Linked DNA regions of Ovis aries. The protein of the gene in region 1 interacts with the protein of each later gene in a biochemical or structural test. Links are inferred from orthologs where the notes say so. Each region holds a gene or a part of one and is shown on either strand. Other genes may lie near its edges.

Evidence for each region.
Region 2: the proteins of CDK9 (region 1) and CCNT2 form a complex in vitro, tested with the Homo sapiens proteins (4 studies listed by BioGRID, with this or other methods). The link is inferred for Ovis aries from reciprocal best matches to the Homo sapiens genes CDK9 and CCNT2.

Annotation. Positions count from the first base shown.
Region 1 is NC_056056.1:8,428,986-8,436,129, forward strand, and holds CDK9 (cyclin-dependent kinase 9), read right to left. Parts: upstream 4,621-7,144; 5' UTR 4,478-4,620; coding exon 4,386-4,477; intron 3,906-4,385; coding exon 3,824-3,905; intron 3,027-3,823; coding exon 2,936-3,026; intron 2,583-2,935; coding exon 2,416-2,582; intron 2,302-2,415; coding exon 2,130-2,301; intron 1,967-2,129; coding exon 1,818-1,966; intron 1,074-1,817; coding exon 708-1,073; 3' UTR 135-707; downstream 1-134. UniProt on the Homo sapiens protein: Protein kinase involved in the regulation of transcription.
Region 2 is NC_056055.1:175,804,521-175,811,024, forward strand, and holds part of CCNT2 (cyclin-T2), read right to left. Parts: coding exon 6,421-6,504; intron 3,201-6,420; coding exon 3,130-3,200; intron 2,654-3,129; coding exon 1,226-2,653; 3' UTR 1-1,225. UniProt on the Homo sapiens protein: Regulatory subunit of the cyclin-dependent kinase pair (CDK9/cyclin T) complex, also called positive transcription elongation factor B (P-TEFB), which is proposed to facilitate the transition from abortive to production elongation by phosphorylating the CTD (carboxy-terminal domain) of the large subunit of RNA polymerase II (RNAP II).

The DNA.
Region 1 (7,144 bases):
GAAGTCCCCTGAAGGTATGTCAGGGGACATGAACTGGGACAAAGGGAAGTACCATGTCCTGACAAATCAAGCCTCAGTGGTCAGCTACAGGGTTAAGAGCTGGCGGTCTGAACACAGAACAAAGCACACAGCCGTTTACTGAAAAAGAGTCAACTTTAATTGTAACTGACCAGCCTGTACCCAGGAATGTCTCTGAACAATCAAACAAAATCAACACGATAAAACTGTCCTATCGAAGAAACCAATAGCTTCCGTCGGCCCCAGAGATTCTGAGGGCTAGGCTGAGAGCAGCCCGTTCCCATTCCTGAGGCTGGTTCTGTGCCCCACAGAAGTTTCTCATCCCACAGGGAGGGCCAGGGTGGGTGAGGGACCAGTCCCCTCCTCCCAGCATGCTGGGGTCTCTCAGAGTCACCGGGGGGGCATGCCTCTCCCCCCACCCCAGTCCTGCCCTAAGGTAAAGGGAGGCCCTCTGAGCGTCACTGCCAAAGCCAGGGAACAAGGTGGGCAGCTCAGGTGCCTTCCTGGACTCTCCACCAAAGTTTTACTCCAGTCTGCTCGGTTGGTGCCCGACGCCCAGGGTGCGGATTAAATAAGATATGCGCTAGAGGAAAAACTCACATGCCCCATAATCTCCACGCTGCAAGTCACAGAGCAGAAGAAAAAAAACCAAAACCACGGCCCTAACGAGAAGCAATAGCAGCCAGCCCTCAGAAGACGCGCTCAAACTCCGTCTGGTTGGTGGTGGCAGGATTCCGGCTCTGGTTGGTTGACTGCTGGGTGATCTGGCTGCCCTTCCGGCGTGGAGGTGCCAGGTACTCGAACATGGATGTCAGGTGGGTGGAGAGCATGCCCTTGAGGTCCGAGGGCATGGGGTCGGACCAGAAGAAGTCGTGGTTGAGGGCGTCGTCACTGTCGATGCGCTGGGCGGGGTCCAGCACCAGCAGCTTGTCGATGAGGTCCAGCGCGTAGGGGTCTCGCACGTAGGCCTTCAGCCTGTCCTTCACCTTCCGCTTCTGGCCCTTGACCAGCTCCACTTTCTCAAACAGCTCGTACTTGTCCACATTTGGCCACACCTGGGGTAGGGGGGAGGCATGGAAAGAGGGGAAGACTAGTTCAGCAGGGTATGTGACTGATCCACTGGTCAAGTATGTAGTGACTGGATACGTCTCCGTTCAGGACATCCCTGGTGATCCGATGGTTAAGAACTGCCTACCAATGCAGGGGACACGGGTTCAATCCTTGGTCTGGCAAGATTCCACATGCCATGAAGCAACTAAGCCCGTGTGCCACAACGACTGAAGCCCGGGTCTAACGCCAGTGCTCTGGAGCAAGGTAAGCCCCCCGCACTGCAACTAGGGAAAGCCCAGGCTCAGCAGTGAAGATCCAGAGCAGCCAAAAATAACTAAGTAAACACGTACAACTTGCTCAGATGCTTCCAGACCACCCCAGAGCCCTCTGCGGCCAAAGCAGCAGTAACCACAGATGGGACACAGGCACTGAATACCAGGCCCTTTGGTGTGAATCGCCTGGGAGATGTGTGCCAAGTGTGACAGAACCACAGATGTCTCACGGCAGAGATCAGCCCTGAGGTGAGGTGCTCAAGACACCTTGCCGGAAAACCCCAGGAACCAGGGACGCAGCCCAGACCTGACGTCGCCATGGCTAACAGCAGACTGTAAGCCTCCACCAGCCGCCTGTCCAGGTCAGGGTTTTGCCTCTGTTCCGTGTGCCCCTCCTCCCCTGCCAGGGAGCCTCCCCCACCCCTCTCGAAGGTGTGTGGCCTTTGGGGGGCCCCCAGGAGGCAGGCTGCGACGCACCTCGGGGGTGATGGAGCCGCAGAGCTGGCTGATGAGGGCGAGCTGGTGCTGCTCCGTGTTGCCCTGCATGATGGGGCTGCGGGTCCACATCTCCGCCATGATGCACCCAGCACCCCACAGATCAATGGGGGGGCCGTAGTCCCGCTCCCCTGGGAACAAGAGCACACCAGGGAGGGCCCCCTGAGCCCCATGGCCTCCTGAAAGGCCACGCCCCTGGGGCCGATGGCTCAAGAAGCCCTGGCAGTTGGGGTGCTGAGACTGAGCTGAGTGCCCAGCCCCTGCTCCCCTCTGCCAGCTCGGGAGAGTCCTCACCGAGCAACAGCTCTGGGGGCCGGTACCAGAGGGTCACCACACGGTTGGTGTAGCGGTTGGGCTGGCTGTTCTTGGCCAGGCTGAAGGCCCGGGCCAACCCAAAGTCCGCCAGCTTCAGAACCCCATCGCGGGTGATGAGCACGTTAGCCGCCTTCATGTCCCGGTGCAGGATCTGCAGGAAGCACAAGGCGGAGGGTTCCCAGGGATCCCTTAGCCATGCCCACCCCGCTGTGAGCGCAAAGGCCAGCCCAAGCCCTGCTCTCTCCTCCCCAACTAGGGCCCCCACCTTGTTCCTGTGGATGTAGTAGAGGCCGTTAAGCAACATCTGCATGACCCTCTTGATCTCAGATAGTGTGAACTTGACTAAGACGTTGCTCAGTAGCCCAGCAAGATCATGCTCGCAGAAGTCAAACACCAGGTATATACTGCCTTTGCAGCGGTTATAGGGGGAAGCTGAGGCAGGAAGAATGAGGAGGAGAGAGGGGGAGGCATTAAAAAAAAAATCAGAAACCTTACATGTAACTCATTTCCTCCAAACTAGCTCCCAACCCCTCCAACCCATGGCCACCCCGAATATCCGGGTACAAATTCCTTCACAGGTAAAACATTTTCTGAGTGCCTTCTCTGGGCTGGGTGCTGTGGCAGGCCCTGGGGAAGCACCTGCTCCGATGAAAAGACCAGAGAAAGCAGTCACAGTTGGAATGTCTGGGTTAAGAAGAGGCAGTGTAAATGTGTCCAGTGTCAACTCCGCAAACAAAGCCTCAGTTTTTCCATCTGAAAATGGGAACATGATCCAAACAACTTACCTTTGGTTCGACAGATCTCAATCAAGTTGACCACATTCTCGTGTTTTAGAAGCTGGAGGATCTTGATCTCCCGCAATGCTGTAATGGGGAACTGGGTGGGAGAAAAGACAGGAGGAAGTCAAAAGTGGGTGAGCACACTACAGACCCAGGAACTGACCATGGGGTCCACGCGAAGGGTCATAGGCTGGGAGACAGTAAATGCACAGGCTCTGGAATTAGCTGTCTCAGATGTCACATATGTAAAACGGGAGTAACTATGTACGCCTCATAAAGAACTGAATGAATGAATCAAAATAATTCAATGAATGATCCGAAACAGTGACACTTCACACAAAGGTTCTGTTACCAGTCATCAGACGCTCCGCAGTTTCTTCACCCTTATAAATTTTAGCCCTATGCCTGCATTTAACCTGCTTGGCAGTTAACAAATATATAATTAAAGAAGCTGGTCTCTGGAAAGCTGAACCAGAACTAACACACGTGTGTGGCAGGAGAGACTGTTGCTTTTCAGCTGAATACCAATCACCTTTTCAAAGCCATTGCATGTAATTATCATTATCATATATATATCTTTTTTGCGTTCAACAAAATTAAACCCTAAAGAAAAAGTCTTTAACGACTTCCTAACTTCAAAAACCTAGGGGCACTGGGTACAAGCATGGGCTCCCCCGCCTGGCACCAACCATATTCACCCAAGAATGAAGTATCAAAAGCTCTAAGACATCTGAATTCAAAGACTGAACTGGGAAGTCAAACTTCCTGGAATATGGAAATTTCCAAACACCTAATCTGAATCTATTACGTTGAGAGTCCCCAAACCAGAAAGGTGGAAACGCAACCTCACGCCCAAAGGAGCTGGGAGACCTGCCCACCCCACCCCATACTCACCCCCTCTTTCTCGTTCTCCATCAGTACCTTCTTCAGGGCCACCTTTTGGCCGGTCTTGCGGTGCTTTGCCTTAAACACCTCCCTGCAGGCGGAGAGGGGAGACCCAAGAGGGCTCTTAGAGGACGTTTCCGCAGAGCCCGCCCCTCCCCCACCAGAGGAGGCCCGGAAAGGGAATCCCGGGCGGGGCTGGGCCGGGTCCCTCACGGCACTCGGCTACCCCACCACGCGGTGACTCTGGTCCCTTCTCGAGTCTCAGCCTTCTTCCCTCTGCTCCTTGCGCCTCACTCGGGCGTCTCGCAGAGAGATCCCGCACCACTCACAGGCTCCTCTCTGCAACCCCTCCCTGCCCCCCCATTAAGGGCCTCAGGCTCCTCCCAGCCGGCCGACTCCTTCAGGCCCCGGCGGGGTTGCGGTGCGGCCTAGCGAGACCAGGGGATAAGTTTGCGTCTAAGTGGCTTCCCGACCAACCGGGCCCGGGTCTGGGCGTCCCGACGTCGGCCCGGAGGGGTGCAGGTTCAGGAGGCTCCCGGTCCCTGGGGGTTGAGGGGGGGCCCAGCCTTACCCGAAGGTGCCTTGGCCGATTTTAGCGAGCTTCTCATATTTGGTCACCTCATCACAAAAAGGGCACTCCACCGAGTCGTACTGCTTTGCCATGGCTGACTCCAGTGCGCCGCCGCCGCCGCCTCCAGCCACCACCGCCGCCGCCGCTGCTGCCGCCGCCGCTCCCGCTCCGGGTCCCGCCGCCGTGCTCCAGGCCCCTCCGCGGCCGCGCCACTTCCGCCTCCACGGCCACTTCCGGCCTCGAGGCGCCGACCCCGCCTCTTCCGCCCGCCGCCCGCCGCCAGGCCCCCTGGGACTTGTAGTTCCCGGGAGGCCAGGAGGAGCCGAAGCTGCAGAGGCGCCTCCGCCACCGCCGCTGCCCCCGCCTCCGCCGCCGCCGGCGCCGGCGGTGGCCCCGATCGGGGGCGCGGGGAGCCGGGGCGCCGGGGCTGGGGCTCGAGGTGGTGCGTCCCGCTGCATCGGCTCGGGCCGCCGCCGCCGCCGCTGCCGAAGCCGCTGCCGCTCTGGCGCCCGATCCGGGGCCAGCCGCAGTGCCCTGCTCCTCCTCCTCCTCCGACGGCGCCGCCTCCGCCGGGCTGCGCTGGGCGCCGGGCGCAGGGGGGGTGGGGGGGCGGCCCCCCGAGCCGCGGCCTGGGGGCTCCCTGGCCGGGCCCGGGCCCGGGGCGGCCGGGCGAGGGGGCCAGACGGAAACAGCCGATGAGGAGGCGGCCCGAGAGCCCGGGAGGGGGCGCGTTATAAAGGGGGAGGTGCCCAGGCCTCGCCCTCCCCTCCCCCTCCGCCCGCCCCCTCCCTCCTCCCTTCCACCCTCAGCGGCCGCACCTGCCGCCGCCGCCGCCTGCCTCCCGCCCGCCCGCCGCCCTCGGCGCGTCACCGCCCGCGGCCCCTCCTCCGCCTTCGGAGGTGGGGCCCCGCGCTCAACACCTGGCTTCGGGGCGCGACTTACCGCGTGCCTCAGTTTACCCGCACATGCCAGCCGCAGCGGGGAGTCCCTTCCTCCCCGGCTCGGGATTTCCCCACCCGCTCTCACACCCCACTCTACGCAGGCGAGGACTAGAGGTGCCGAGAGAGCGGCCTCGGGTCCGGGGAAGGGAGAACGGGCCCCGACCGCCGCCTCCCCGGGCCCCCGCCGACCCGCCGTTGATATGGCAACCGATAGCCGCCAGGGGGCGCGGCGACATTGAAGGTGGTGAGCCAGCAACGCCTGGGCCTTCCACTCCTGGATCCCCACCCAGTTCTCTGGGAGACAAGAGATGAGACCCACAGGACTTTGGTTCCTGCCGAGCTGCTCCCTAACTGGTCGCGCCCCGGGTTAGTAGTCACAAAGGTAGCCGGCATTTCGTCGGCCCCTCTTGTGTGCTCTGGAAGTGCTGGGCATTCCTACTGAATCCTGAATCCACCGCCCATAGTCAGGATCACTAACCAATTTTACAGAAGAGCACATTGAGGCTCGGAGAGGTGAGGTCATTTGCTCAAGGTCTCACAGTAATAAAGCTGGGACTTGAACCTTGTCTGTCTGAATCCGAAGAGGATTCTCTTGACTCCGGCTATTTACAGTCTGTCCAGCAGTATAGCAAGTGGTGCTGTTTGAGGCCTGCTGTTGTTATGCCAGGGTACCAAGCCCACCACCGTCCACCATCTCCTTTGATCCTATGCCTGCTTCTCCTACCCTGGCGCTTCTTCCCCAGCAGCTTTCTGATACATTCTGGCTCCAGGAGCCTCCTGTATCTCCTTCCAGCCTTTGACACCCAGCCCTCAACAAGGCTGCCTTCAGACCTCCTCTCCACCCCTCTTCAATTTGCACCCCCCACCCCAGTCCTCCACCAATGGATCTTAAGACCTGTCCTCCCCAGTCTGTCCCCTCCATCTGTCCCCCTGCCAGCACCCATCAGATCATTCTGAAGTGATGTCTGTATGTCTTTCTCTCCACTGTCATCAGGAAAAACCAAACTGTGACATTTGAGGCTCGAAGGAGATCAGCCCTGGGATTTCTTTGGAAGGAATGATGCTAAAGCTGAAACTCCAGTACTTTGGCCACCTCATGGAAGAGTTGACTCATTGGAAAAGACTGATGCTGGGAGGGATTGGGGGCAGGAGGAGAAGGGGATGACAGAGGATGAGATGGCTGGATGGCATCACCGACTCGATGGACGTGAGTCTGAATGAACTCCGGGAGATGGTGATGGACAGGGAGGCCTGGCGTGCTGCGATTCATGGGGTCGCAGAGTTGGACCTGACTGACGATTGAGCTGAACTGAACTGAACCGAACCTAGGCTGTGGCCACACTGCTTCCTACACGCCAGGGCCCCTTGCCTTCAGGGCTATGCTCTCTGGTTGCACCACTGCCTTCTCTTCTGCCAGGAAGGTTCCTGGGTTGCTCTCCAGCTCTTAGCTCACATTAGGAGTCAGGAATGGGTCTGGTAATCCTGGTGTCCCAAGAGACCCTGTTCTGCTGGGAAGCAGGGGGACTGCCCGGGAAGGTCTTCAGGATCAGGTGAGGAGCAGAGAGCCCTCTCCTGAAGGCAGTGTGGACCAGCGAGGGTTTGGGGCAGGTCAGGGAGTGATCTGGGGTCAGTTTCTTGGGTACAATATTAGAAGCAGGGTGACCATTGGCTAAATTGGGGGTGGGGAGAGCAGAGAGTGAGAAAATAATAATAACTGTAGTAATTATAGTTTATGGAGTGAAAATAAATGGTCCAAGCTGTACACTTAGCACTTTATGGGAATTATCTCAATTCTCACTCAGCAATATTATACTATTA
Region 2 (6,504 bases), on another chromosome or scaffold:
CGTAAGATATAAATACAGGTACAATGCACAGTCAGTGACCTTTTTAATTTATTGTTAGAATATAAAACAACTGAGAGAGCAATAGGTTTAATTTCATTTTTATAAGGAAGACTGCATTTACCTGAAAAAGAAATATGGCATCACACACAAACACACTTCAAGGGAGGGGTATGTTTAAGAACATGGTGTCATTCTGAATGCCAAAGGAAAAGCGATTCTGTTTATGGTTAAAATATGTAGTGTTAAAGTTCTTTATTTAAGAAAAAAACTTACTAATTCTGCACTAATGTAAGTTTTTGTGAATTTAGTTTTCAAATCACAGTAATCTACATAACCATTATTAACACCTCTGTGTTTATAGTACTGCAACAAGCCAACAAACACTTAAATGCACTTCACATCAAGAGTATGTAAACTTTATTTTTTCCTCTTCAAGCCTTCAGAAATTCAGGGGCTCTTTCAGCAGCCAGTCTGGTCAGAACCTCTGAAGGCAGAATCAGTGCCTCATGGAGAAAACAACCATCTGTGGCACTGCATACCCATCCGGTAGTGAAGTGTCCCCCTTCAGTGGCTTCCAGTAAGGCCTAGAGTTTAAGGTTAACATGAAAAAGTGCCACCTTTGTTTTAGATTAGTGATGGACTCTGACAAGATAAAATAAAGTTATTCTGTATATTGTTATACTTACAAGCAGCTCCAATCCTGAGTATTTATGGTAATATCTAAACATACAAAAATGTATGTACATTTTTCTCCACCTTCTTGTAAACAGTTGTCAGTATACTGTTTTATCCCTTTATCAGTGAAACATGCAAATCATACATACAAGTATAAATACACAAAAGAAAACAATTTACACTCATTCAAAAGCCAAGCAACAACAAAAAATAGCTACAGTATTCAAATTATAAATAAACGAATGCTTGAGGCATCTTATATTCCTAGAAGCAGCCAGCCATTCACCCTAATGTTCTTAGCTGCAATTGTAGAAATACTGAGTTTTGCACCTTCCATGCTTTTACAGTATTTATAACACTATCATATGTGGAGATAAAGACTTGTTTACTATAATCTCTTCTTTTCAGAATGAAGAATAAAGCAGCACTTACAAATATTGAAGCAGTGGTAGTAACAGCAGGTGTTACCACTGCTAGATCAGGAGGAAGTTTTTCATTCTAACAATTTTTAAATTAAAAAAGAAAAGGAAAAATTGACCTAAAGAAATGATTACATGTTCATTCCTTGGGCACTTAACAGCGAGTCCAGCATGTCGAATGTGTCTTTGTAGTCCATATGCTGGCTGTTTGTACTGTACTCGTGATTGACATCAGGACCGTTGGTCTCCACTGGCTTCTTGTCCAGTTTCACGAGGGTGCTGAGATGTCCGTAGCCCACCTGGTATGTGACAGGGGGAGGGGGGGGTAAGGGATGGTTAAAAACAGAGTTGTGAGAGGATATATACTGCTTAACAGAGGAGGAAGAACTAGATGAACTACCTGAACTTTTGGAACTTTTGCTCATTTTGGAGTGATGGTTGTGAGATGCATCATTGATATGCAGCTTCTTCCTTGAAGAGCTGGAACTAGAGGAAATGCCATCACTGCTCAGGCCAACAGGACTCCTCAGAACAGTGGGCGGTATTCCGTCAGCACTGTGTTTACTGCCACCACTGCTGCTGCCACTGTATGAGTGGGAATGCTTGTGACTGCTGGGGTGGTGGCGGTTGGAAGGATGCTCCTTGTGCTTCTCCTTATGGTCCCTGCTAATATGTGGGCTGGAATGCTTGCTCTTCCCACTGCCTTCATCAGAAGAGCTGTGTCTTTCTGATGAAGAAACTTTTATTTTCATTTTCAGTTCTTCTTTACTGACACTTTTATCAGTGGGTGGTATTGGAATCCGTAATTTCAGTGATCCACTCTTTTCCTTCTTCTCTGCCATGTATTTTTCAGGTTTTTCAGCATTTGTAATGGGAATTTTCATTTTAATGGGAGAAGTCACAGAACTGCTGCTGGCTGCCTGAGACTGTACATGTTTGTGTTGCTGTTCTACCTGGGCAGCTATATAATGATCCCTTGCATCCAGATCAAGGCTTTCTAGCTTACGTTTTTCTCTATATTTATCTAAAGACATTTTCTGAGGAATTACTCCAGGAGTAGCAGAAATTGGCCCGTGGTGTTTACTGCTCCCTGCTTTATGAGTATAATCTTGCTTAACAGAAGAGTGATCAGAAATTTTGTCAGGTCTGTGATGTAATCCTGAATGCAATGATGCAGAAGGCCCCTGCTTGAAGTTGATGTTGTACTGGCTACCAGACAAAGATGTTTCCTGTTTCTGTGAATATATCTGTTCTGTCCTTGCCGACTCTTGATGCTGAGGCCATTCTTGGTGTGATGACAAACCATATGAGGTACTTGGCATTCCTGTTGCTAGCATTGACAAATTATCAGATGCATGGCTGTCTTGAACAGAAATATTTCCTGAATTTAGAGGTACTGGTGCAGGGAAAGCTGATGTAGATGGTTTCTGAAAACTTGGTTTGGTAGGCACACCAGTAACACTATCTACTAACATGGAATTCTGGACCAAAGATGAACCCAGAAGAGGCGTTTCTGATACTTGTCCATCTACTTTTGGTTTCCCAGCTGCCTGGTTAGCCTATTTAAATAAAACACAAAAGAAACAATGACAGCAAAGGAATTTAATATAAATTTCTTTGCTTATAAAAATTCTATATTAAATATATGAAAATAAAATCACCTGGGGTTGGACTTTATTGCCAGTAAACAAACATCTTATTTAGAGCCATAAAATAAGACTATATATAGTGAAAGCATTGGCTTTAAACTAAATACTGAATAAATTCCAGCCCAGCATCTGAGAGAGGAATTTAACTTGTCTAGCTTTAATTCCCCTTCTTGTAACGTGAGGATACTATTTCCACAGTAATCACTATGAGAATAAGAAATCCATATTTATAGCAAAGTATACTGGACACAGTAGTTGGATAAATTATGAGCGCATGTAGCTTATGATACACTGTAATTACTTCAAATATTAGAAATAAGAATATTTAACCATAAAAATTCAAATTAGCAAATTGATGTTCTGATAAACCCTGTCAATTCTCTTACCCTCCAGTATCGAATCTTCTTCAACCTACTAGGCGTTTTCTCCAATATTTGTAGAAACTCATGTGTTAGCTCTAAAAATAAAATTTAAATTTAAAACTTAGAAGGTGCCTTTAGATTTAGAATTCTCTCAAGTGGGCAATATTAAAAAGAAAGCACAAGAGTTCATCTACTTCATGACCACCTTCCTAATTCAACCATTAGCACATACAGAAGTACACACAGCTTTGAACTGGTATTTTCAAAGAAGAATCTTAAAAAAAAATTTTTTGATTAAAAAAAACAAAACAAAACAAACAAACAAACAAAAAATAATCAAACAAAAACCCCATCTCCCACATCTCCCTGATTTTAAATGCTTACTTAGAATCTCTGAAAAATTTAGTCACATTTAAAAAATTGCTCCCAAACAGAAAACTGCTATCAGGCAAACATCAGGAATAATCGTGGTGGGGAAGGTCCATCGTTAGATTCTTTACAATCAGTGCCCGAAAGTTCAAGGAAAAAAGAGAATATTTGTATAATCAAGATATTAATTACAAAGAGAAAATTAGTAACTTTACGACCCTAACCAAGTGATCATGACTAGCATTACCAGTAATAAAACATATCAACTTGATATACCTTGATGAAATGCACTGAGTAGGACAACTCATTTCTGTGGTATTCTTGCCCAAAATGTAAAACCTCAATTTAACAATGGGAAAACATCAGACAAACTCTAATTGAGGAACATTTTATAAAATAACTGACAATTATTCTTCAAAGTGTTAAGGACATGAAAGAAAAGATTGAAAAATTATCACAGATTGGAAGAGATTAAAGGGGGGCATGGCAACTAAATGGAACATGGGATCTTAGATGTTATTATTACGTAAGATGCTAATATTAGAGAAACTGGGTACAGGGTATAACAGCACAGACTTTGTACCATTTCACAGTTTCTTTAAATTTAAAACCATTTCAAAGTTAAAATGAAAAAATTTCTTTACCTATACTTGTAACTTCCTAGCGATCAACACAGTATTAACATTTCAGTAAACCACCCTGGTCACATTTCTACAATTTTTCTTCTTAAATTTAGAATTATAATGAAATAAGAGATGATTCACTTTTCCAAAGTGGTATGGTTAAGATGAATTCTAGTTTTCAACTCCATAGAAAAATAGTGTTATTAATAAAGTTACTGGCCACTCTCAACACAAGTATTAATAATATCAAATGAGAATGTCATGTAATATTATTAATGCCAATTTAGTATAAAGAGACTGATAAAAATTTGGCATCATTATGTGCTCATAATCTGTGATAAGTAGTTCCTGCTAAAGTCTCAGGAGCTTTTTGATTCAGTTTAGATGAAAAAAAGATCTAATGCCTATACTACCACTTCTTCATTAAAAAAAAAAAGACCACTTTTCTACTTGGACATAGTAGTAAATCTAGCAGATACACAATCCCCCTGGGTCCAAAATTAACAATAAATCATTCTGATTCAGCTTCAGAAAAATTCACATTATAAAAAACACATGAGGGTTTGTTATTAATCAATAACCGCCCGGCCACAACCCTCTTACAGGTAGGCCAAACACAATCAATGCTGTTCTGGTGACAGTCATTAAATGTAAAATTCAGATACTGTTAACATCTGAAATTTTGTTACTTTTTAATGTAATCAAAATAGAGAAAAGGCTGCTACATAATATGTTGAAATTTTCAATGTGTTAAGTGTCCAAGATTCCTATTCAATGTTCAAATGAATATGAACTTGAGCTTTTTCAGAATAGAAGCAAAGACATATTTAGATGGCTCGTGTTGTGTCAAAAAAGACTTTACCTACAATTTAAGAGCAGGATAAAAGGCAGATTACTTGCTTTCTATAAACTTTATTTTAGAGACATGTATAGAAACTATTTCTATTAAGTTTTTATCTTATTTGTATCTTATCATATCTATCAATAGATAAGACAACTATTTTATCTTACCTGTTGACTGCTAAAATAAGATGGTGGCACAGATAATTTCAAGTCACAAATGGGAAAATAAAAAGTTCCCATTAGTTTTTAGAAGATGTTATATTTCAACTCGCTGAAGATTTCCTACTACTCTGAGTAAACTTTAAACTATCACTAGTGAGCCAAATATGACCTGTATCCTGTTTTTGCAAATAGATTTACTAGAACACAGCTATATACTTATAGTTGCCTGTGGTTGCTTTCTAGCTCTGGTGGCAGAGTTGTCTTGTTGCACAGACAGTATAGCCCACAAACCCTAAAACAGTTACTACTTGGCCCTTCACAGAAAAGGGTGCAGACCCTTAAATAAATTTCTACCTTAAAGAAGCATCTGAGATATTAATGGAAAACCAATTTCCAAAGCCTTAGGGGTCTCTCACTTTTACTTAACAGATGTCCTATAAATCCAGTTTTCTCATCAGTTTCAATTTTGTAAAGGAAGCTGGGGAAAGCACACAAAAAGAAGCTGAAAACCTAACGTATCAGTTTAGATCTAAGAAGTGTTATCTATTTCCTTTCTGTAATCTATACTTCCTGGTTAAAATGTCTTAATCTGCAAGATATTCTACCTCTGGCCTGCCAGAAAAATTTCCTTTCAGGAGACCCCTAAATGCCAGATTCATAATTTATAGAACTTATACTCCCAATTTTTCCTTGTCAATTCATACTTATTAATGCACGGCAACAATGACACACTTTATCACCAGCAGAACAACAGAACAAGGAATATTACCATGAAAATATCATTAGCTTACTGCTTCACATCTTCTACAGTAAGTTAATACATGCTTTGTGTTTATACATTTTAAACCCGACAAAATTAGTATACTTTAAAATTATGTATGCTTGTATTATCAACCTGCAGCATTATATTAAATGATATTTCTTTGAAAAGTCATGAAAGGGTTTCAGATATTGAATAGTGGTTAATAATATGTTCATTTTTCCCCCTTTAGGCTAATCAATTTATTCTCATCCTCTTCATGTGATCATGTAATTGTACTTTTAAATCCTATTGCCAACTTGTTGAAACAGAACTGTTTTAAAAGATTTTTTATCTTTTCAAAAGAGGAAATACCAGTAGATGAAATGATACCTGGGATTGGCATCAAGTAACTACAGGGTGAAGGAGGATCCTAGACTGGCCAAAACTGTTCAACTGACCATGAATATATGGGAACTCAATATTTTTTAAAACCTATACAGAAGCAGACAGAATGTTTAATCTATGATAAAAAGTAAGAAAATATTCTGTTGTAACAAAAAGATTTTCTCTACTTACCATCTAGTAATTCCAGAGTAACTGTAGGATCCACATATTCCCACCAATGTTTTCCATCAGTTGACACAGGAATCTCCCAATTGG